Arabidopsis thaliana: one gene and its partners. The protein of the gene in region 2 purifies or fractionates together with the protein of the main gene of each other region. This does not show direct contact. Each region holds a gene or a part of one and is shown on either strand. Other genes may lie near its edges. The genes, in order: La1, EMB2753, EIF2 GAMMA and AT4G18330.

The links.
Region 1: the proteins of EMB2753 (region 2) and La1 fractionate together in Arabidopsis thaliana (co-fractionation; one large-scale study listed by BioGRID). This does not show direct contact.
Region 3: the proteins of EMB2753 (region 2) and EIF2 GAMMA fractionate together in Arabidopsis thaliana (co-fractionation; one large-scale study listed by BioGRID). This does not show direct contact.
Region 4: the proteins of EMB2753 (region 2) and AT4G18330 fractionate together in Arabidopsis thaliana (co-fractionation; one large-scale study listed by BioGRID). This does not show direct contact.

Annotation. Positions count from the first base shown.
Region 1 is NC_003075.7:15,785,088-15,791,031, forward strand, and holds La1 (La protein 1), read left to right. Parts: upstream 1-2,106; 5' UTR 2,107-2,225; coding exon 2,226-2,276; intron 2,277-2,379; coding exon 2,380-2,458; intron 2,459-2,557; coding exon 2,558-2,707; intron 2,708-2,984; coding exon 2,985-3,127; intron 3,128-3,217; coding exon 3,218-3,366; intron 3,367-3,479; coding exon 3,480-3,602; intron 3,603-3,691; coding exon 3,692-3,986; intron 3,987-4,091; coding exon 4,092-4,239; intron 4,240-4,334; coding exon 4,335-4,407; coding exon of another isoform or gene 4,408-4,411; intron 4,412-4,505; coding exon 4,506-4,596; 3' UTR 4,597-4,909; downstream 4,910-5,944. Other genes in the region: SCRL25 (SCR-like 25), read left to right, coding at 1-82; SCRL24 (SCR-like 24), read left to right, coding at 1,250-1,316, 1,552-1,754. UniProt on the Arabidopsis thaliana protein: Binds to the 3' poly(U) terminus of nascent RNA polymerase III transcripts, protecting them from exonuclease digestion and facilitating their folding and maturation.
Region 2 is NC_003070.9:30,231,842-30,237,630, forward strand, and holds the start of EMB2753 (tetratricopeptide repeat (TPR)-containing protein), read right to left. Parts: upstream 3,145-5,789; 5' UTR 2,992-3,144; coding exon 2,941-2,991; intron 2,454-2,940; coding exon 2,375-2,453; intron 1,991-2,374; coding exon 1,908-1,990; intron 1,801-1,907; coding exon 1,651-1,800; intron 1,482-1,650; coding exon 1,366-1,481; intron 1,049-1,365; coding exon 943-1,048; intron 547-942; coding exon 475-546; intron 384-474; coding exon 268-383; intron 65-267; coding exon 1-64. Other genes in the region: ATXRCC1 (BRCT domain-containing DNA repair protein), read right to left, coding at 3,603-3,887, 4,015-4,101, 4,181-4,294, 4,387-4,472, 4,643-4,754, 4,845-5,033, 5,134-5,322. UniProt on the Arabidopsis thaliana protein: Auxiliary subunit of the NatA N-alpha-acetyltransferase complex. Required for male gametocyte development, embryogenesis, suspensor development and the formation of the quiescent center (QC) in the root meristem.
Region 3 is NC_003070.9:1,094,581-1,100,788, reverse strand, and holds EIF2 GAMMA (eukaryotic translation initiation factor 2 gamma subunit), read right to left. Parts: upstream 3,908-6,208; 5' UTR 3,669-3,907; exon of another isoform or gene 3,503-3,668; intron 3,391-3,502; 5' UTR 3,367-3,390; coding exon 3,258-3,366; intron 3,171-3,257; coding exon 3,109-3,170; intron 2,990-3,108; coding exon 2,877-2,989; intron 2,791-2,876; coding exon 2,688-2,790; intron 2,411-2,687; coding exon 2,183-2,410; intron 2,072-2,182; coding exon 1,853-2,071; intron 1,753-1,852; coding exon 1,492-1,752; intron 1,390-1,491; coding exon 1,087-1,389; 3' UTR 888-1,086; downstream 1-887. Other genes in the region: XIB (myosin XI B), read right to left, coding at 4,643-4,754, 4,822-4,985, 5,068-5,124, 5,215-5,271, 5,346-5,442, 5,612-5,682, 5,760-5,888, 6,047-6,208.
Region 4 is NC_003075.7:10,124,505-10,129,478, forward strand, and holds AT4G18330 (Translation elongation factor EF1A/initiation factor IF2gamma family protein), read left to right. Parts: upstream 1-2,074; 5' UTR 2,075-2,159; intron 2,160-2,231; 5' UTR 2,232-2,242; coding exon 2,243-2,369; intron 2,370-2,458; coding exon 2,459-2,633; intron 2,634-2,710; coding exon 2,711-2,813; intron 2,814-2,896; coding exon 2,897-3,124; intron 3,125-3,217; coding exon 3,218-3,436; intron 3,437-3,519; coding exon 3,520-4,083; 3' UTR 4,084-4,230; downstream 4,231-4,974. Other genes in the region: AT4G18320 (uncharacterized protein), read left to right, coding at 512-1,474; AT4G18335 (uncharacterized protein), read left to right, coding at 4,365-4,859.

The DNA of each region.
Region 1 (5,944 bases), on a different chromosome or scaffold from region 2:
TGTTAGCTGCACATGTACTAACCTTTACATGTTACACAAGACCAAACGTTTTTGCGACTGTAAACATCGCTGCTCAGGATAAACTCCCCTAACCAACATTGCTTTTACCTATTTTTTAGTTTTTACTAATAGAATTGTTATGAGTGTTTGTAGTGTTGTCATTTTCATGACCCATAAATAAGTTATGTTATTCTAATGTATCTCTCTTTTTCCACACAAATTTTTAATAAAGTTATGAGTTACTTCTTTCTAAGTAGTTAGTATGAGTTTTCCAATCAATCTATTTTCCACGTTCAGTTTTCCAAATTGTATTGATCCTGTTATAGTGTAATTACGCATTTTGTAATTGGCCATGGTACTACAATACTAATACTATCATGTTATCTGCAGACTTCAATCTTTTATTTTTAAAAATTAATTATTAGCATTTGTAATATTGATGTAATTTTAATACAAACTGTTTATTAATTTGTTTGAAAACTTATGTGGACAAATAAAATTAGTATACAGAACAAAAAAATATGTTTCAATACCAAAAAAAGTTCACTCCCTAAGCTTTTCTGTCTCTTAAGGATAACATCCTGGATGAGGTCTCTCGATGATTCCCCCCACATACAACATAACCATATAAAAAAAAAATCATCAGCCAAGTGAAGCCTCGGGAACAGTAGTGTGAACCTTTGGATCCTTGGCCTATCGTCAAATGATCGACGACGGTCGAGTTGATTGATCCTACACAGTACACAACCTGAATGTTTTCCCATAGCATCTCTGCTTCATCTATTCCTTGCTAGTAGGATTGATCCCAGAAAACCATAAATTTGTTTTATAAAGATTGAACGTTTGTCTATAGATTAATTTTCAATGGATTAAACATTGTAAATTAATGGTCTTATGGATTTTGTGAGTTTAGATTATCAAGGTTAGAACTGTGTATTTTGAAAAGAATAGGTGATGCGTCATCACAATACACGCAAAAAAAAAAAGTGAAAAATATATAATACTAGTAAGTAGATTTACAAAGAAGAATTTTTCCAAAAAAGAAAGAGTTGATCCGTCGAACTCGTTAATTAAGAAGGCTCGTTGAATTTTACAAAGCAAATTCTAAAAAAAGATGCATCTATTTTTACGATATCTCGAATATATTTATTATGAGTGTTGTTGATAAGAAAGATAAAAAATTCGAGAGGCAAACAATAGTTTTCTGCAACTATAGAGATAATTAATAATTCTTATCAGCTTTTCAATCATGAGATCTGTTATTTGGTTTATAGTTTCTTATACTCTCATGTTACTCGTTCTGAGAGGTGGTAAAGGTAATATGTTGAGTTTTTTTTGTATGGACGTAACTCGTATATAATAAGATATAAAACAAGGATGTTCTTTCTAATTGCAAAAACGGTGTTGTGATTAAAGGAAATAAAAAGCATTGTTACAACGTTAACATATGGTTTAATAGTGAACTTATTTGGATTGTCATTTGTTTATTAATCGAACTAAAATTAACGTTTTTTTTTTTTTTTTTGGTTTGTGTGGTTGAGAAAACAATAGAAGTGGAAGCTGAGAAACTGTGTACAACGATAGGAGACTTGGACGGTAAATGTAGCCAAGACGGAGAAAAGTTGTGCATGAGATACATGACTGATCAATCTAAAAAAAAGTTTCTTAGCTGCACATGTAATAACGTTGTTATGTTACACAAGTACAAACATTATTGCGAATGTCAATCTCATTGTACTCCAAAACAAACGTAAGCTGTAACTCTATAATCAATATATCTCTTTACAACTAAATAAGAATTGTTGATAGAGTTTGTAGTGTTTTCACGACTCAAAAATACAAATGTTGTGCTGATTGAAGTATGAATTTTTGGTTCAAGTCTTGATCTTGATCATTGAAAAAAATCGTGAAAATATTGATCAATTGCCAACGAAAAGACGTAATGGGGTGAATCAGATAGTGTAGGATTATTTGGGGTAATTTTGTTACATTCTAAAGTATAGTGGGTGGGGTTAAATTGATAGTATTAAAAAAGTCAAGGGTTAATACGAAATACAAATATAATCAATAGCGAAAAACCAAAAAATAAATAAATAAATGACAATTTGACTCGAAAACTTTAAGAGAAAATGGAAACTGTGTCTCAATAAACCCTAGTACCCTTTTTCTCTCTTATTCTTCTATCTTCCTCCTCCTCTATCTTTCGCTCGAGCCATTGAGCAATTATGTCGATTCCTTGTCTAACCGAAGAGACAGCCAAAACTGTTCTTCGCCAGGTACAAACTTGTCTTCTTCTTCTTCTTCTGCGGTTCCTCTCTAGTAGCTTCACCAGTTTTTTTTCTTTCGATTATGTTCTGATATTTGATATCGATTTTATAGGTGGAGTTCTATTTCAGTGATAGTAATCTACCCATTGATGATTTCCTCAAGAAGACTGTTACAGAGAGCGAAGATGGCTGTAAAGTTTTAAACTTTTAAACAAATTCAGTCGCTATCGCTGTGTATTTTGATTTTTTTTTGTTATGGCTAATTGATGATTTTTTGGTTTGTCAAATAGTGGTGAGTTTGGCGTTGATTTGCTCCTTTAGTAAGATGAGAGGATATTTGAAGTTGGGTGATTCTAAAGGAGATGATATTCCTGAAGATACCATCAAAGCTGTTGCTGATACTCTTCGAACCTCTTCTGCTCTCAAGATTTCTGACGATGGTGAGTTTCATGATATAATCAAGTTTCTGTTGGGTTTGGATATAGTTAACAATTGCTTTAATTGATTCAAACGAAGTAGTGATATCTTAGAAGAAAGATAATAGTTTGAGAGTTTCAATTATAGGTGAATGGCCTGTGTAGTGCATAGTTTAAACTTAGTTTCATTAAGAAAAGTCTTTGCATGTGGATTTTACAAGTTTGATAATATGTGGTGTCAGATTGGAGAAATATGTTTTGTACAGTTTAGTGATCAATTTTGTTGGATTTTCTTAAACAGGGAAAAAGGTTGGTAGGAGTACTGAATTGTTGAAGCTGGAAGATTTGATTGAGCAACTTAATGCTAGAACAGTAGCTGCGTCACCTTTCTCCTATGATGTTAAAAGGGAAGACGTGGAATCCTTTTTCAGTCAGTATGGAAAGGTAATCCACTATCGATTGAATCATAAGCCATTGTTCAAAATTTAGATTGGTTATACAAGTTTTTGGTATATGTATGTGTCGTCCTTGCAGGTTAATAGTGTGAGGATGCCTCGTCATGTTGCAGAGTCGAGGATATTTTCTGGTGTTGCCTTGGTTGAGTTCCCTACAGAAGAGGATGCCCAGAATGTTATGAAGCAGAATTTGGTCTTTGCTGGTCAGGAGTTGGAGCTGAAACCAAAGTAATCATACTTAGACATGAAAACATGTCCTGTTTGCTGACTGTTTCTCATTTTACAAGTCTTTCCATTGAATGTTTGGATGGGTTACTTAAAAGGTGATATATTCTTTTCAGGAAAGAGTTTGATAATGAAAGGGAGAAGGATGAAGTAAAATTTGCTAATTACCAACCTCAGAAGGGATCTGCAAATCAGAAGAATGGTTCTGATCACAAAAACAATTCTGCTTATGAGCCAGAGTAGGGGTTTGACTGTTGCTATCTAATTACTTGTCTTTTCATGCTAATAATCCTCTTGATCTGATTATGGCTATTTTATCGTATTGTAGTTATCCCAAGGGTTTGATCATTTCATTCACCCTCAAGCGTTCAGCTGAAGAGGGTACCACGGAACAAAAAAGTTCTGAGGAGCCAACTGATAAGACAATGGAAGAAAGTGAAACAAAGCCAGCAGATACTCCTGATGCTGATAAAGAAAACACTGGTGAGGTTCAGGCCGAGGGAGCAGAGGATGAAGATGATGAGAAAGAAGAAAAGGGTGCTCTAGCCACCCATAAAGATAATAAGGATGTTGTCTTACGTGAAGATCTTAAGGCTGTTTTCGGAAAATTTGGTGATGTCAAGGTACTACTTGAGTTTTACTTAGCTGTCTGTCAACATGAATCAGATTCAATATCTCATATAACTGACATCATTTTCACTGATTCCTTTATTCTTTTTGTTGTGAAGTTTGTTGATTTCAAGATGGGATCTGAGACGGGTTATCTTAGGTTTGATGAACCTGAAGCATCCCAGAAAGCCCGTGCAGCAGCAGTATTAGCCAATGAAGGTGGACTAGCCGTGAAGAATTTTATTGCTGTCCTAGAACCTGTTATTGGTAAAAACACCTTTTCAACTTCAATCTTATCTTATAACTAAACCTTGTGTTCTGCTTTAGTTAAATGGTCACTTGTTTATATTGCTCTCTGTCAGGCGAAGCTGAAAAGGAGTATTGGACTCTCCTACGAAGCAAAGATCGGTTTGACAAGGGTGGCCGTGGAGGAAGGTGAGTTCATGTTTTTGTTCTGGTTTCTTTGTTATGATTTTGTTTCAAATGAAGTTTTTGTTTGGTTCTTCAGATAATAATATACTTGGTCTATGCAGGGGAGGAAGAAGAGGAGGGAGATTCGGGAGAAAGAGGGGATCAGATTCACCGGGTGGTCGCTGGAACAAATCTCAGAAGGTGGAAGCATGAGAGATTTCGCTCGTGACTGCTTCTGTTTTTCAATATATTTCTAGTTGCAACTTTAAATTTAATGTATCGACTGGTGACTCGTGATGTTATAACTAGAAATAGCTGCTTATTTGGCAAATTTTGGTTTAGTCATATTTGGTATTGTTTTGTTTAGCTTTATGTGCCTTCTTATGCACACATCTCTTTCCTTAATTATTTTAAATCGATGTTTAGGAAGCATTCTAAAAGACAAACTATTAATATTAACTGCTAAAAGTATATTCCTGTAAATTCTACAACTGTATCAATTGACTCACTGATGATGACACTATTTTACTTGAAGTAGTTAAAATTAATTTTGAAAATCAAATAGTTTTGGTATTCTTCTTGGTCTTCTCGTTTGACTTTGTCTACATTGTTATTAGGTTTTTATGCTGATTTTAGAATTAGCTGTTACTGGCAATTTCATCTTCTTCCTTTTTAATGAGAAAAAAACTCTTCTTTCATACAAAGAATGCTTTGCCGTTGTTTAGAAGAAGAAGCAACAGAGAATCTCGAAAGAAAAATGAATGAAGAAACGTATAAATAAATAAATTGAACTTTTATGATATGAGAGACTAAAAAGCGAGATTCAGAGATTGAAATCAACGGCTGAGATCACTTTCCTTTTTGTTTTGATCTCTCTCTCTCTCTCTCTCTCTCACTTCGAATTCCGTCCGCCTCTCCATGTTTGAGTTTTGAATACCTCTCTCTCTCTCTCTCATTCTCTCTCTCTCTCTCTCTCTCTCTCTCTCTCTCTCTCTCTCTCTCTCGACTTCGATTTCGATTTGTGTTCTTCTTCTTCTTCATCTGGATTCTCAGCGTCTTAATTACTTCAGATTAATTTTGGAATTCGTTGATCTGCAAGGTGTGAGCTTTACTCGTATGACCTCGTCTCCTTCTCTTATTATGGTCACATTTTTGTTAGTTTTCACGGAGACTTCTTCCTGATTTTTCAAAAATCTACTCTTTGAACTTCTCTTACTTTTTTTCGTATAAAGTTTCGATTTTCTTCAGATGATGTTCGAAGCTTTTTTCTCGAGGTTTTTGTTTTGGGTTCTGAAACTAATTCGGGCTTCTTATCTTAGGTTTTTTTGGATCCAATCTCAATATCTAAAGCTACCTTCTTCATTCTGTGAACTTCTTCCTTGTTTTGACTTTAGTTTGCTCTTTTGCTGTGAAGCTAATGCTGATTCTTAGTCTGAGTCCGACTGTGTTTTTAATTTTATGGTTTATCTTTGTTTCAAATTACAGCAATGTGCTTCGCTTATGATGATTTCTAAGACATATCAAAGAAACGGACTTTGGGGTTTTTCATATTGCTTTCCTT
Region 2 (5,789 bases):
GTCGGACGAATATTGACCACTTTCTGAATACAATCCAAGGCATTTTTGGAGGCCCTCATGATATCTGAAAAAGCAAGGAATGCACTTTTTATTTGTTTACAAAAAATTGACAGTACCAAAAATATATAGAAGCCTTTGAGAGTAGCAAAGGTATAGACCGCCAATGCCAAAGATAATGAAGCAGGGCAAACAGATGTGACAATTGAGAAAAACGAAAAAATACACAGATAATTTCTTTAGAGCTACTTTGAAGTGCAAGGAAAAAACCTGTAATTGTCAGGGTTCATGGAAAGTAAAACCCTGTAGAGTTTATTGGCTTCTTCTAGACGACCAACCTTTGACAAGAGAGATACCTCTTGTTCTTTGTAAGACAACTTATCAACCTACAAACAAGCAAACGAGGAATGTTAAATCTACTATTATGTGTGCATCCTATTATCCAAATACATTCAACCATCAGTTTTGTGAACTTACTATTTTCGGCTCTTTTTTGTGCAACTCCTCAAGAGCTTTGTCAAAAGAACCACTCTCCTCAAGCAAGGAAACCTGAAACGAAAAAAAAATCCAGATGAGATTTCCTGCAGCTACAGCTATGAAAAATGTGCTAATGCCAACTGTAGGTTGCTCAAACAGGGAAGTTTCAGGGGGAAAGAGTGAACAGAACACCACCACTCCAGGTGGCTTGGAGAGACTTTCCAGGGTTCATATCCAATTATACTTGAGAGAGTTATGCTTTTGTCACAAAAGAATACAGGTGTGATTCACAAAATGTATGATACAAGCAGTAAGCCATATTTTGTATCAACCAACTTGTACTTTTGGTATTTTCGTCAATAGGAGAAAAATGTGTGAAACCCGTTTAGGCAAGCATGATTTTTCAGGGAAAAAAACTTAGAAAGACAACAGTCAATATATGATAGTTGTAAAGTTTCTGGTTGATACCTTGTATAGAATCATTTCTGTGTGTTCAATTAGCTCGTTCTCAGGAGGATAGTCATCCTCTAAGGTGCCTTCATACGCTTCCAAAATTTCAACAGCTTTAGAAGCACTGGTTTCAGGAGAAAATAGAACAAGTTAAGAGATCAAGGTTGATATACATGGCTAGCTTTTACTAGTAAAGAAAAGATGTTCACAGAAAATTCTACTGTATGTTCATTGGTATATTATTTCCTAAAAATCTGATGCAAGATTCGTACCAACATAGGCATCCACTATCTACTCCTTAAAGTGTTCAAGACTATAATTCCAAATCATATGCCATTAACCAGCTAGCCAATAGTCCAAAGAGGAAAAACTAGCATTCCATTCAAATGAGTAAAGTGGTTTAACATATTTAGATTTATGGGGTCAAGGACAATAACATACTTTGCGTTTAAATGCTGAGAGACTGCAAAGCCAATCCAGTTCATTCGGTGATTAGGCTTCAATGTCAAAAGCTGCTGCCTGGTCTCCACAAAACCGGATAAGTCCCGCATTTGTGCCTAGGAAAAAGAAAGTAACCAATATGATTAACTATTGAAAGCATCAAAAGAGATTAAAATTGGAACAAGCTTTACACAAAGTAAAGTGATAAAAAGTATGAAAAATCAGCTTTGAGAATAACTGGCACACCTAATAAATTCACCTCAATCTAGTTTTTCTCATAATTACCTGCAGAAGTGAGAGGTCTCTGAGTATTTCAAGGTTATCAGGATCTATTCTAAGAGCATTTCGGTAGCATTTGATTGCTTCTCTATACTCTCTGTCTGACCGGTACAAAAGACCAAGCACATGCCAGCAAACATGGCTTTTGATATCATTCTGCATGAAAAAATTTGAAGTATATAAATCCTATGTTACCCTGAAAACAAAATACCATTTTGGAAACTAAGGAATAAAGTTGTGATTATTGAAGAGCATATTCAAACCTTCACTCCAAGTCGAACAAGCTCATATGCTTCAGTTTTGCGGTCCATACAGTTTAGAGTCAGTCCTTTCATCGATAAAGTCTCTGAAAATCACAAACAATAAGAGCGACAAGTTTTAAAAGAAAGAAAAGAATAACGAAAAGGGTTGACAAATCAAAAAAAGCAAGAACTGCGTTTAACACGAAACAGAACTGGTCTCTACTAACAAAACTAAACAATACCAAGCATTACCCTTGTACTAAAAAGTTAATTTATTTGCTCTAATAGGAAGAAAGAAAATAAAAATTCTAACAGTGATTGATTCTTAAGACTATAGACAAGACAACGAAGCGCCTAGTAGACCTACAAGTCATGAGATCTCGGTTGATGTATGTAGTATAGAGTTGTAAGTATTTAGATAGCAGTAAAAAGATTAGCACTAAATCACAAAGGAATAGAAGGAGATATTAGATAAAAGACAAACTGACCTCCATGATCAGGAAACTTTTTTAATATGGCATCAGCTGCCTTGAGTCCCTTCTTGTACTGCTTAGTCTCATATGATTTCTGCATTATAAGATTACTCAGAATAACTATATATGATGTACTTACTTGCGAAAATTACATAAAGAAAAAGGTCAACTATTCAAAGCAGGTTGAACAATATAATGGTTAAACCCAAAATCTATGCTGAAACCATATATATATTGATAAAGCTTGGTTTTCAAGTTCTTCAAAGTAAACTACGAATCCCTGAGCGACTAAAAAAGCCCAGAAGCAATCGAGGTCTAATAATAGCCGATAGTCAAAAGTAACTGAAGCTAAGAACTTGGTACATCAAATTAACACATTAAGGAACCACAACTCCGCACAGTTTACTTCATATGTCAACGAATTTTTCTATTGACCCAACACATTGACGATTAACTTAATTTAGGGTTTAATAGAGCAGATAAAACTCATCGTATTCCAATTTCTGCTGACCAGGAACATCACATCGCATGTTTAAGACAAAGTAAAAACTGAGAAAGAAAGAGAGGGAATCGGAACATACGACGATGAGCTTGAAGAGGTTGGCCTCCTTAGGAGGAAGCGAAGCCCCCATTTTATTGCGCTACTGAGAGAGCTCGCGAAGACGAAGACGGAGAAGAAGAAGAAGAAGATGTTCTTCGCGAGTTCGATAGGGTGAGAGAGAGATAGAGGTGGCGTACTATCCGCTTCAACCCTACTGCGAAACAAAGAAAGGCACAACTCTCACAAGACAAAACCCAATAAGGGTATAAATAAATTAGGGTCTTGTCTTCAATCAATCTTCTTCGATCCTAACCATATCGGTACATGTTTCCGGTTTCAATTCGTTTGTCTGATATTACAAAACGGTTATTAAATTGGATAGAACCAAACCGGTTCAAAACTGGAGACATCTGAACCTAATTGACCAAATCAAATTTGTATTAACCGATCAAATTCATCGTCAATCGACACTAAAAAGTATCAAATCAAACCGACTTATTAATTGCAACCGATTACATCTCTCAATCGAATCCAAACCAGCATAAATAAATTCTAATTAGAAACATTCTTTCCGAACCAAGCAGACCGGATTATTTCAAATTTTTATCAGTAATAACATCCTACTCAAACCGAACAAACCGAGTATAACAAGAATTCTTGGAATTCCTTAAGAGATCATATGCAAAATGAAACAAGTTTGATCTAAAGACACTCTAAAGAAACGTTCCTATAAGCAAGTTCGATCTCTTCTTCAGTCATCTCAACGGTCATATCACTGTCATAGCCACAAGCAACCCGAGAGGTCGATTCATCTTCGCCCGGTTTTGCTAGCTCAGCTTCGTAGATCTTTTTCCACGACTTTGCTTGTTTGCAAACTTCTTCCTTTGATGCTGTTGAATTTTCCTTTTTAGAAGACGATTCCATCTTTCCAAGCTCCTTCACTACACGAGGGACAAAGCTCCATAGCTCTGTAACTGATCCAATGTCCTAAAATTAAGAACATTCGAGAATAAATTCAACCAATGATCTTCTCAAAGAAACTGATCAAAGTTTAACAAATCCAAAAATGTACACAGGCGGCAACTATTATTGTTCAGACTTCAGAGATATTAACCTGCTTCTGTTCAAGAGAATCTATGGCGTCTTGTAAGCAGGTTAAGACTCCTTCCGCAGCTATTCGCTTGATTTCGCCTGGTTCTGGCTGTTACAATGGCTTTAGAATAACGGAAACATACAATCAAGAAAACATGTCTTTTGAAAGAGCATATTAATTCCCTTACTTTTTCCTCCTGACTCTCAAGCCATGAGATGGTTTGACTTAGGTCATCCCTGGCCCATTTCTTCACCTCTGTAACAAAAAATGGCTCTTTCACAAGATTGCAAGCTGATCTATTCTGTGAACATATGGAAATAAACAGTCATAGACCATTGATTGGAGCAAAATACGGTTCGTTTTGGTTAACCAAATCATCAGATTTAAACATGCCTTGGATGAGGTAGATGGTGTTCCCCTTGTTTCTGTTTTTTTCTCTACTTGCTTCTCTGGTTTTTTAGACAGGTGTTCTCTCTTTTCTGAATACAATCAATTAAGGTTCACAGAGTCAACTAAACATCGGAGTGAAGCAGTGCAATAAGAAAAGCTTTTCTCTTGTCATAAACGTAAAAACAAGGTGATTTGATGAACCTCAGGATGGTTAAAACGGAGATTCTATCTAAAGCCTTTCCAATATAATTCTTTTTACCTCGATTAGCATCTTGGGGACTACTGCTTTTCCTCCATGGTTTTCCAGCATGCATAAGGTATTGCTCGATATCTACCAACTTCTTCTGCGCATAACACTCAGTTATCCACTCCTGGAGACAGTGAAATCATATAAAATATCAGCAAAAAGGAGAAATTCAAATCCGCACACAATCCCTTATAAGAAGAGTCAAAGAGGTAACCTTTGAGATAATTGTTCCACCATTTGTTTCAACTTGACGGAACTTTGGAGTGTTAGGAAAAGCACAAATCAACAAGGTAGAGCCAGCGTTCCAGTCAGGTTGATAGGTGGCTCCCATTGTCAAGGCTTGTGACCTCAGTGTACTCCTCTCAGGATTAACAAAGCCCGAAAGTACAAAAACAACGCCTTCCTGCATAGTTTAACCTTCAACTCAATCACAAAAGCATATAAACTAACATGACAGCTTAAGATAATTGAGTCTCAACAAGACCATGAAGACACACACAAACCATAAGTTTAGAGAATTCAGTGGTATTTGAACTTGGCTCGGCGTGTTCTGACTTGTTGGAAGGGGCATTTCTACTGTTGTGCTCTTCGGTTGGTCCTTCATCCTTAGGCTTCTTACAATGAGACTTACTCGGAGTAATCTCGGGATCCCTAGAACTCATCCAAGAAGGAAGATTTCGCTTCTGAGACATCTTGTCCTTTACAGTGGAGAGAATACTAACACAGCTTTCGTCCTACAAAGAAACACTATTATGAACCTAAGCCACTAGTTACTTGAAACTCCAGGAAAATATTGCTATTGCATCGCATCTAGCACAACACAAAGCCAGAGAGAAAACGGTGCAAATCTGCAAAAAATGTAAAACATTCCCTAAGAAAGACAAATCTTAATACAAACGAATGGTATAACCTTTTTTCAATTTCAACATAAAAAAATCAATGGACAATGGTTTTAACATAACTCAGTAGCACTGAATTTGAATTCGAGTTCAGATCAAATCACACTGGAAAATTGGAATTGAATACCAAAAAAAAAAAAAAAAAAAAAAAGAAGAAAGACATTGCAATTAACAGAACATCGCGAACTTCGCCATAAAACCCTCGAAAACTAAATCTACCCATGTAAATGAGCCAACACAGAGGAGAAGACTATAAACTT
Region 3 (6,208 bases), about 29 Mb from region 2:
AATCAAATTTAATAATAGTCAGACTTTTATTTACTTCGTATCATCGTGATTCACACGGCAAATTCTAATTAACATAGTTTTAGTTAAATTATTACTTATTTTTTTAAAGTTTAAGTTTTAAATTTTCGGGAAAATTATTATTATGTTTTTTAAAATGAGTTTAACACTTTTTTCAATTGGATGGCTTTATTTCCTTTTTTTGTTCCCCTAAGGATTAACGGTCACATAAGGAATTTAAAACCTGGAGCGGACGCTTTTTCCCCGCTTCAAGAAGGAGCGCCTCCATTACAAAGTGGAAGCTATTGGTGGAAGAGAATTTGGCTCTGTGGAAGGGCAAGCCAATAGAAGGTATTGTGGAGCAAGTGCGTGATGAAAGTACCATTCGGGTTTATCTTCTTCCAGAGTTTCAATTTGTGCAAGTATTTGTTGCGGGAGTCTAGGTAACTAAACTTGTTTCCCTGCATGAAAGGTTGGCATGTTAACCCATCACTTTGGAACACAGTCAGCGATTCTTCTCATTTCAATGGGAAGGCGAACCACAAATGCAAGTGTTGTTGAGACAGTTCCAGATGAGCCGAATGGAGACTTGCTGCCTCTGCAGTCCCGTCTATGTAACATAAGTTTTCGCACGGATATACACAGTGGAAGGCAAGACACTCAATTCAAATCGCAAACAAATAACGTTCTTTAGAGAGAAGACATGAACATTTTGACTAAAAAGTCGTATTTATTATAAAAAGTCGTACTTGATCGGATCCTAATGAGTAATGAAGTTGTTCCTTTTCTGAAGAAAGTATGTATAGTCAAGTAGCAGAGTATCTCTGACAAAAATTTCAAAAAAAAAAAGAGAGACAACAAAATTTAGTAATATCTAAGAGAAAAACACAAACAAAGAGCAAACTAGTAACAATAACAAAGAGCAAACTAGTAACAATAACAAATCAGGTACTGTTTGAAGATGTTTAATCCGCAAAGACGAACTCTCCAAAATCCCCCAACGAGAAAAAGAGTTTTATTATCTTTTTGAGGGGTTTAACAATCTTTTTTTCAGAAACACAAACAAAAAGGACAAAAATAACACATAGCTTAGAAAGGTGAAGGAGGAACTTCGATGGTGGTTCCAGCTTGAATCTGACCCCAACCAATCAAACGCCAATGCTTTTCCACACGTCTGCTTAGAGCCACTTTCTCTCCTTTGCTGGTACAAACAGGCGCAGTCAGTTGCAGTTTAGCCAGATCGACTTTAACTCCTACAACTTTGGCTCCAGTGGACATCGAACCAATGTTGAGCATCAGAATCTCTCCTTTCGTTAGCTTTGACACTTTCCCTTGTTTCTCTGATCCCTTTGTTCTCACTCCCAACAAACGTCGTAGAAGAAAGAAGTTCACCTACAGATTTTACATAACCACAAATTAAAAGGAGAAAATACACTAAGAGACCCATTAGGACCATAAAGACTGAAGAGTATGGTTGTGAGGAGTTGTTTATACCTCGAGTTCAACAAATACATCAGGAAGTGAACCGATTTCACCAAGGACTTGACCAACTAATCGATCTGCACGAGTGAGAGTTGGGTCCATTGTTGTTCCAACTCCTATTAGACCTCCAGGAACAGCAAACTGAAGCTCGTTCTGTTCCGCGTAGAGTGAAATGATGCGAGAGTAAATTGGAGTGCATTTTGAGTTGCCACGCTCGTCTTTGGTAACGATACCAGGTCGGATTTCGATTAATTGGTTGACTCTCAAAACACCCTACAATATACATGTAGTTAAGAGATACTGATTACACCATATAAAGCTTGATGTACTTAAGAGGCACAACAAGAGAAAGGGAGAGAGAGAGAATAGATACCCGTAGGATACTTCCACCTGCAACTCCACCTTTGATCTCATCAACCTCATAACCAGGTTTGTTGACATCAAAAGACCGAATCACTATCATATTTGGGGGTGACACAAAATTCCTCTCAGGGATTGGGATCTTCTTGACAATGTACTCGCACACCACATCAATGTTGTATTTCAGTTGTGCTGAGACAGGGACGATCGGAGCAGCATCAGCAACAGTGTTCTGCAACAGGATGTGAAAGAAATTTTAGAACCAAGTTCTTCAATACTTAGCTTAACCAAGTGACGAAATGAGAATGCTACAACAGATCCTTAAGAGATAAGAAAACCTAACCATTATAAATTTCTGAATTGCCTCGTGCTGATTAATGGCAACATTCTCTTGAATAAGATCAATCTTGTTCTGAAGGATGATGATATGCTTAAGTTGCATAATCTCAACGGCAGCAAGATGTTCAGACGTTTGTGGTTGTGGACAAGTTTCATTTGCAGCGATTAAAAGTAGTGCACCATCCATGATGGCTGCTCCATTAAGCATTGTTGCCATGAGAATATCGTGACCCTGAAGAATAGAACAAGAATACATTCAACAAGAATGAAGTAGAGATAAGAAAAGCAAAAGATGGAAACATCAATGAATACTTCTCCATCAACCCTCACTCTTTAAGCCCTTCACCCAATTAAATGAGAGACCCAAAATCATGCAGGTGGAGCACAACAACATCGATAATACACAATAAACGAACAGCTCATTGACACATGAAATGGTTATACACTTATACTATCAAATGAAAATGGTAATTAATGAAGAATAAAGATAACGGTAAAACTCATCATACCGGGCAATCAACGAATGAGACATGCCTCAATAGTTTCATCTTGGAGTTTTCAAATCCGGGGACATCACAATTGGGAGTGTCTTCCTTTCCACTTCCGTAGGCCCTAATACAACAGATAAGTTGTTAGACCTTGACTCAAACCTTATAGTAGAAGTAGAAGATAAAAACACTGTTGTAAGAAGGACTCACTTGTAGCACATTGGTCTAGGGCATTTCTCATCCTCACATTTGTAAATCTTGGCGTTTGCATATCCAAGCTTAATGGTAATGTTACGCTCCAATTCATTTTTAAAACGGACAGTCTGTACAGAGAAGATAAGGAAACCATAGAAATCACTTCACCCACTCCAATTGATCAAACGCTGCAAGCTAGAAAAGCCTCTAGGATTACAATTGTGAAAACCGCATAATCAAATTTTACCTGGACACCAGAAATAGCTTTAACAACAGTGGACTTTCCATGAGCGACATGACCAATGGTTCCTGAAACATAACACTATCATCTTTAGCTTATAGGAACTGCCAGTTTCTTCAACATCAACTTATATAAAAGACTCAAAAAAGCGTTACCTATATTAATAGTGGCCTGGCGAGAAATGACCTCAGGAGACAGAGGATGTAGCACAGTTACATCCAATTTTTTAAGATCTTGCTCAGCCAAACCCTTGTTCCTCGACATTATCAAAGATTGAAGCTTCTGCTCCTGCTTAAAACCGAGCATCAAATCAGAACCCTAACCCTAGTTAATCTGAAAAAGACTACTTCTCAGGTTTTTCTACATCTGCCCTAATCAAGTCGACACACAGATTCTATACCTGAGCTCCGTTACCTAAATATCACAATAATTTCGATTCGCAATCTAAAAAAACATTATGATTACGATTAGATTCCCCGAACTAATCTTCGTGCGATAGAAATGGGAACAATTAGGTTGAACAAATATTGAATCCGTAGGAGATGTAATTCGAGATCGAAACGAACCTGAGCGATGCGAAAGAACAACGGAGAAGGTCAAATTTGAGAGATAAAAAAGAGTGAGAAAGCGGCGCAGCTTGAAGAAGATGCACAAAATGGTTTTTTTTTTTCTATCCAAGTCCCTAAAGGGTTTTTGGTTTCCTTCGCGTAACCTTTTTTTTTTTTCCCTTTCTAAAATTTCTTACAAAATAATGAAATACTAGTATTTAATTAAATTACTATCAGTAGAGACTAATTTACTTTTTCTATGAATCAAAGTATCAAACCCAAAACATTTCATCATATTAATTTTATGTGCAGGGCCGGCCCGACTAAATTTAATGCCTAAAAGCAAAAAACAATTTGGCCCAACATAAAACACAGTTAAACAAAAAAAACCATAAAACTTTTAGAATTCGAACTTGAGACAGACACCTCAAGTGAAAGGCCTATTTGCGATCGACTATAAGCGTTCGTGTTCCTCTATCTCTCTCGGGTTTGTCAATTTATCTTTCCGAACCAGTTATGAATTTGTTTTTTTTTGGAAGGTTTTGAAGTCTTTGAATCTCGGCTGTTGAAGTCAGAAACGTTGGTTTTAAACCAATATCACCAGGTGTAATGGAGTTTGATTGAGTCCCAAATTTTTTAAAAAAAAATCACTGAAAAGAGTTGGGGCAAGTTTATAACAAATTAAGTAGATTAATTCTGTACAACAACAACAAAGGATCTTCATCGTGTAGAACTTGAGCCGTGAAAAAAAAAAACCAGATAATAATCTTGGGTCTAAAATGGAGAAAAAACTTTGAAATGGGGTCAAATAAATAAATGAATGAATTGGTGAGAGAGAAATCACAGAGGTTTTGCAAGAAAGAAACAACCCCACAAGAAGTAAAAATTTACACTTTTGTAATCTTCTTTCCTTTTGGTTCAAGAAGGCACCCCTCCCCCACTCAGACTAAAAAGAAACAGAGGAAGAGCTTTTTTAGAATCCGAGCTTCTCACTAGTGCAAGAATACGAATTCTGGGTTTTCCAGTAGCTCTTTGGCCGGTTTGACACTCGCAAAGTCTTTTTCGTGCATCGAATTCGAAATCTCGTCTATTGAGAAGGGAATGCTGCGAACAATAAACCGGTTTTAGTTTCTACTACTGATATTAATCTTTAAGAAATGATTCGAGTTACCTGGAATTATCATCCAACAAGAAGGAATTGCTGTCGGCATCGTTGGATTCTTCTGTCATGAGCGCACGCATGCTCGATATTACCTCTTGAGACACACTTCGGGTGTTATAGCAGTCGTCCCAGTATAATGTGCATATCCGGTAAAGTTGTTGGACACTAAGGATCTGTAATAAAGTGAAACAAGAAAGCCATTAAGTATGGAGTCTAGGCAAAAACGTGTTTCTAGAAACTAAGAAGGAGCTTTACCGGGCAAAGATCATGTACTATATCATCGTATGATACTCTGTACTTCTGGTGGATAACCTGATAAGTTACGAGAGGAGAAGTATTCGTTTTTGAAGATTCAAGAAACAAGAGTTCCACAAGTTAGTATTAAACAAGAGTAAAACATACCAGGAACCCAACAGCTTGTCTGATGTGTTTCAGTTCATCCCAAGATGGCCCAGCATACTGCAAAATCAAAGAATGATATAATGAGCCGAAAGAAACTTTTTCCGGAAGGAAAACGTGAGGTAGGAACTTACTTCATTGACTTGGCCGCACCACAATTCTAGCTCTGCAAGCCCAGACTTTACAAATTCTCCATTGCTGAATGTACAACACTCTTTACGCAGTAGAAGGCTATTGTAAGATGTTAAGGAAAAAACCAAGTAAGAAAACACTAGTGATCTTGGCTTATATCTTCCATAGGAATTTGAGAAATATCAACCATAGGAAGGTTTGTACTTTGACGAGTATCGATGATAAGGTGTGTAGAAACCATTAGATGTAATTCTCAAGTATTATTTACCTGTTAAATAGTTGCACATTGACGAACGAGAAAGTTTGAGTGTGTATCTTCTGGATGAGTACCAAAGGAACCTGTACACCATGAAACATATGAGAATTTGAGGATTTGAAAACAGAATAATGTCATGGAACTTTTACTATTTCCTTACATAATTATCTTTCAATATGGCAAGCAGCGAATTGAGACCATCAATAATGCTCTGCCAGTGAATAGCAGGAGAATCTTTTCCAAGAGATCTAGCAGATCTTTGTATCCCTCCTTTTGAAATTCTCGGTGCCTGAAGTTCAAAGTTTTGACAGAACAGGACTTGTTACAATAGTAAAACACATTTATTATCAAGGTGCAACGCAACAAGCGAGTGGTCACAGCATTAGGATACAACAACGTAAAGTCAGGACAAAAATATATAGCTGCAAAGAGAGAAGTCAATGAAACCTGAATGCACATAGATATTAAAGCTGAGAGCTCTTTCTTCAAGTTATCCCTAATCATCCCAAATATTTTCTCCACATATGCTGCAAGCTGTTGCTTGAAAAGCAGAGCCGGGTATTTTGCCTCCACTGGGCGGATCACCGCAAGAGCAGCAGCTTCAGCCGC
Region 4 (4,974 bases), on a different chromosome or scaffold from region 2:
TTTTGTTGTTAATTTTAGTGGATTGTGTGTGTTAATGTATTTCTGACGAAAATATTCGTTTTAGTATACTAGCCTGACTTTTAACTTAAAGCTATGGTTCAGTTTTTCTATAAAACTTGTATTCTCTTCATTCGATCTTCCAACGCCACACATTATTATATTTCTCAAACGAAATTTCTCTCTTCAAACAAGAAATACTTAAAGACTGCTCGATCTCTTCAAAATGTATCTAAACAAACTTCCCACTCACAATTTAATATATTCTTGCTATCATTCCATAAACAGATTAACTCATTTCTTGCAATGATTTTTGTTTTTGAAAATGTAGCTAGCAACAAAACTTCTTCCATTTTTTCGTAACTCATATATATAGCTTCTGCCTTCTGCTATCAGATTTCATTTCTCTCAAAATTATTTTTCTTGGTTTCATCTCATTTTTTGGAGGGATTTTTGAGAACATCTTTAAAAAAAAAATAATCTTCCAGTTCTTATTTGTTAATTCTTATAGTTTATGCTCTCATCTCACTTCTCTCAAATTTGTTTCTCTCGCAGGGATTCATGGGGAAGTTTGCCTCAAGATCTCCTCAGAAGTTCTACAAATTTGCTTAACCCTAACTTTACCGAAGGTGGGGCACTAAGAGGTGTCAACACTCATTGGAGGAACACATTTCTTTCTTTCCGTGAAGGAGGTTTCGTAGAGGAAAGGCCGTGGTTGTTGTACCGTGAAAGGGGATCCCGAGTTGCCCATTTCTATGACCCTGTGAGAGAGGAGCTACATCATGGGAAAGACCCATATCTTGAAGGGGCCAAATTCTTAGGATCAACATTGGGTTGGGTTGTTATGTCCAACTCCAGTGCCATACACCGACGTCAAGACCACCAAGCTTTCTTATACAACCCGTTCACTTCACAACGGTACCAACTACCCCTTCTCACCACTGATAACCCATGTGTGATCCGTTACGGTGTGCTCACCGGAGATCCCCGTCAAGACAACACTTATGCTTGTCTCCTAGCCGATAGCTTTCACGAAAATAATCATATGGTGATAGCGCATATGCATGCTCCTAGTCGACAAATATATTATGTAGCCAAGAGTAACGGAGACTGGGATCAGAACTGGTCAGTGACTCGTATCCCTACCTTCAACCATCCAATTTGTGGTTCGACTATAGATTCCCTCTCCCCATCTGTGGACAAAATATCAATTATTTTATGGGGCCATACTCTTGACTTCACCTTCCGAACCCAAAATTGGAATGTCTCAAATACTCAAGAGAATGATACCATCGAATGGAATCCTTTCCACGGCCAATCTTTTGATCAGATCAAACATCGACTTCAGATATTTCCACAAACTCTAGACATTATCGGCACTAAAACTGATCGCGAGAGAGTGAAAAACCGCACTTGGGGTGCTAACAACCAAATCGTTTCTTACACTGACGGAGTTTGGGTTGAGGTTCGCGCTTAGCCTAATGTTCTACCACTTGACTCTTTAAGTTATTTCTCTGTGATTGTTTTCGTTATCTATCTTTTATTTGTGTGGTTTAAGATTTTTAGTATTAATTTCTATTTATTGTGTTGCAAACTCTACTCATTGTGGTTTCGTTAGAAACTCTACTTTGGTTTGTTTATAAAAATGCTGATCTTTTATTGTTTATTTTTACGTTAAACTTAATAGACAAACAAAGAACTCTTAATTCGGTGTACATCTCTTCGTTAATATATGTAAAACATATTTTTTTTAAAAAAATTGTTTAGCAAAGAGTAAAATGAAAAATTCTACAAAAGATGTTCTCTTATTTGGCTCCTCTACAAAAAAAACTCAACTCCGATTACAAATTCGAGTTTAAATTTACAGGTTTTCAATATTGGGCCGTATTGGGTGCTAATGGTTTTACTAATAATAAGAATGGGCCTAGTTAATCATAAGGCAATGAAAAAAAGGTTTACAAAACCCTACATTTTTTACCTTCCACGTGTAAACTTCTTCCCCAATCTTACAAATCTTTAACTGTCATCGAGCGAGCTCAACATTTTTCGGACAACAAAGTGTAAGAGACTGATTAAACAAAATCGAGACTTTATAGTACTCAGGTTTGTCGGAATCGACTGAGTATCGAAATTATTGTGGTGTTTTGTGAACAGAAACCAAGGTATGCATGAAATCGTTTTGTATATAAACCCTAATATCGATTTCAGAATTTTCATTGATCTCGTTGTTTTAGCAGGATTAAAGATGGTTCAATCTGTGTTAATTTCGCGTAACAAGGGTTTGGCGGAGCAAGATCTAACTAAGCTTGATGTAACAAAGTTACATCCTCTGTTTCCTGAAGTCATTTCTCGCCAAGCAACCATAAATATCGGTAAATTACACTCTGCTTTTGCCAGCTCCTCTAGGTCTATAGTATAACTTGATGTCAAAGAAACCAATACTGTGCTAAATATATCTCAGGAACCATTGGTCATGTCGCTCACGGTAAATCGACTATAGTGAAAGCTATCTCTGGTGTTCAGACTGTGCGTTTTAAGAATGAATTAGAGCGTAACATTACCATTAAGCTTGGTTATGCAAATGCAAAGATTTACAAGTGTGAGGATGACAAGTGCCCTAGACCAATGTGCTACAAGTGAGTCATAATCTTCTTTTTGATATAATAAGGCTAAGTGTTATTATGTGTAGCAGCAGCTAATCTGTTAATTTTAGGTCATATGGGAGTGGAAAAGAAGACAACCCAACTTGTGATGTCCCCGGATTTGAGAATTGCAAGATGACACTACGGAGACATGTCTCATGTGTCGATTGTCCGGTATTAATGAGTTTAATTTACACTTTGTCTCTCAAAACTAGAACCATTGGCTATATGTAACTGAGTTGTTTTTTATTCATCAGGGACATGATATTCTTATGGCGACAATGCTCAATGGAGCAGCAATCGTGGATGGTGCTTTACTTCTAATTGCTGCTAACGAGAGTTGTCCACAACCACAAACCGCTGAACATCTTGCTTCTGTTGATATGATGCGCCTTAAGCATATCATAATCCTTCAGAACAAGATTGATCTCATTAATGAGAAAGCCGCCACTGAACAGCACGAGGCTATTCAGAAATTTATAACGGTTTGATCAATTTTCTTATCTCTCTGTTGTTAAATCTTTCATGACTTCATCAGTTTGGTTCTCATATTTTCTGTCACATATATAATGTTGCAGAACACGAATGCTGAGGATGCACCTATAGTTCCTGTCTCAGCACAACTGAAATACAACATTGATGTTGTGAGTGAATACATTGTCAAGAAGATTCCAATCCCTGTGAGAGACTTTGTGTCACCACCAAAGATGATTGTGATTCGTTCTTTCGATGTCAATAAACCTGGCTCGGCGGGTCATGAAATGAAAGGTGGTGTTGCTGGTGGAAGTATCCTCCAGGTATGTTTTTATCTCTCTGTTTCTCCTCTGTTCTTACCTGACTGTGAAACAATTTAGTATTAATATGTGTCTCTCTTTGTTTGGGTGTTTTGAAAGTGAACCAACTGATTGAAATTAGACCTGGTATCACTGGCAAAGATGAGCATGGAAACTCAAAATGCACTCCAATTTACTCGCGTATAACTTCACTATACGCGGAACAGAACGAGCTTCAGTTTGCTGTACCGGGAGGTCTAATCGGAGTTGGAACAACCATGGACCCTACGCTTACGCGTGCTGATAGGTTGGTTGGTCAAGTCCTTGGTGAAATGGGTACTCTCCCTGACGTCTTTGTTGAGCTTGAAGTAAGTTACCAGCTTCTGACTCGTCTCATTGGAGTGAGGACAAAGGAAAAAGAGAAGCAAATGAAAGTGTCAAAGCTAACCAAAGAAGAGATATTGATGGTGAACATCGGGTCTATGTCTACGGGAGCTAAGGTTATTGGAGTCAAGAAAGATATGGTGAAACTCCAACTGACGTCTCCGGTGTGTACCACCATAGGAGAGAAGGTTGCTTTAAGCCGACGTGTCGATAGGCATTGGCGTCTAATTGGTAAGGGTCAGATTATGGCTGGAACCACCATCGATGTTCCTCCTCCTCCTTTCTAATGAAGTAGTGATGAGTTTTTTATATTGTTTGCATTCAAAAATAATTAACATGTGCCTTTGTATGTTTAATCACTTTCTTTCGACTACAATATAAAACTATATTCATATTTAACACAACATTGACGAAAATTTAAAAAACAAATTCATAATTTCATTAATGATATTACTTATCACTAATTAGGAATTATATAATTCTAATTCCCTCCTCGTTCTGAGCTTTTGTTTCATCTTTACGCTCTCTCTTACTCTCAGCCAAAACCCTATACTCTCTTTCAATCCCAATGGAAGATTTGGTTTTGATGAAACAGAGTCTTCTAAAAAGCTTCATCGTCTCTCTTATTCTCACTCTCGTCTTCCTCATCTCACCATCATCATCATCTTCGAATCAAGAAACAAGAGTATCATCAACACAAAAAACGGAAGCTTATCTCAACGGTTACGAATCACCGCACCAACTCGTCTACATCAAGAAAACGACACCGTTTATCTTGAACCAGCGGTTGCAACGAGACAACCACCGTCGTCGTCGTTACAATCACCAATACTACTACTACTATCGACATACTCTTCGTCATCGCCGTGGTCTTCATCATCGTGCTGGCTACTTCAAGATGATGGCCAAGAAGAATAACGGTTTAAACCGTCCGGTTCGACAGGATACTTTCTCGGTTATGCTTCCCAAAGGATTCGTACCTCCTTCCGGTTCATCTCCATGCCATAACCAGAACCCTAATTCCGCTACTACTCTCTTTTGCGATCTTTCTACACAACCCTAGATATCGTTGCCGATACGTCGTACGTGAAACGATTTTGTTCCTCTCGTCGCACTTTTGTATTTTTCATCTTTTAAAGATTTTTTTTTCTTTTTTGTTCGGAATGACCGGTGCATTG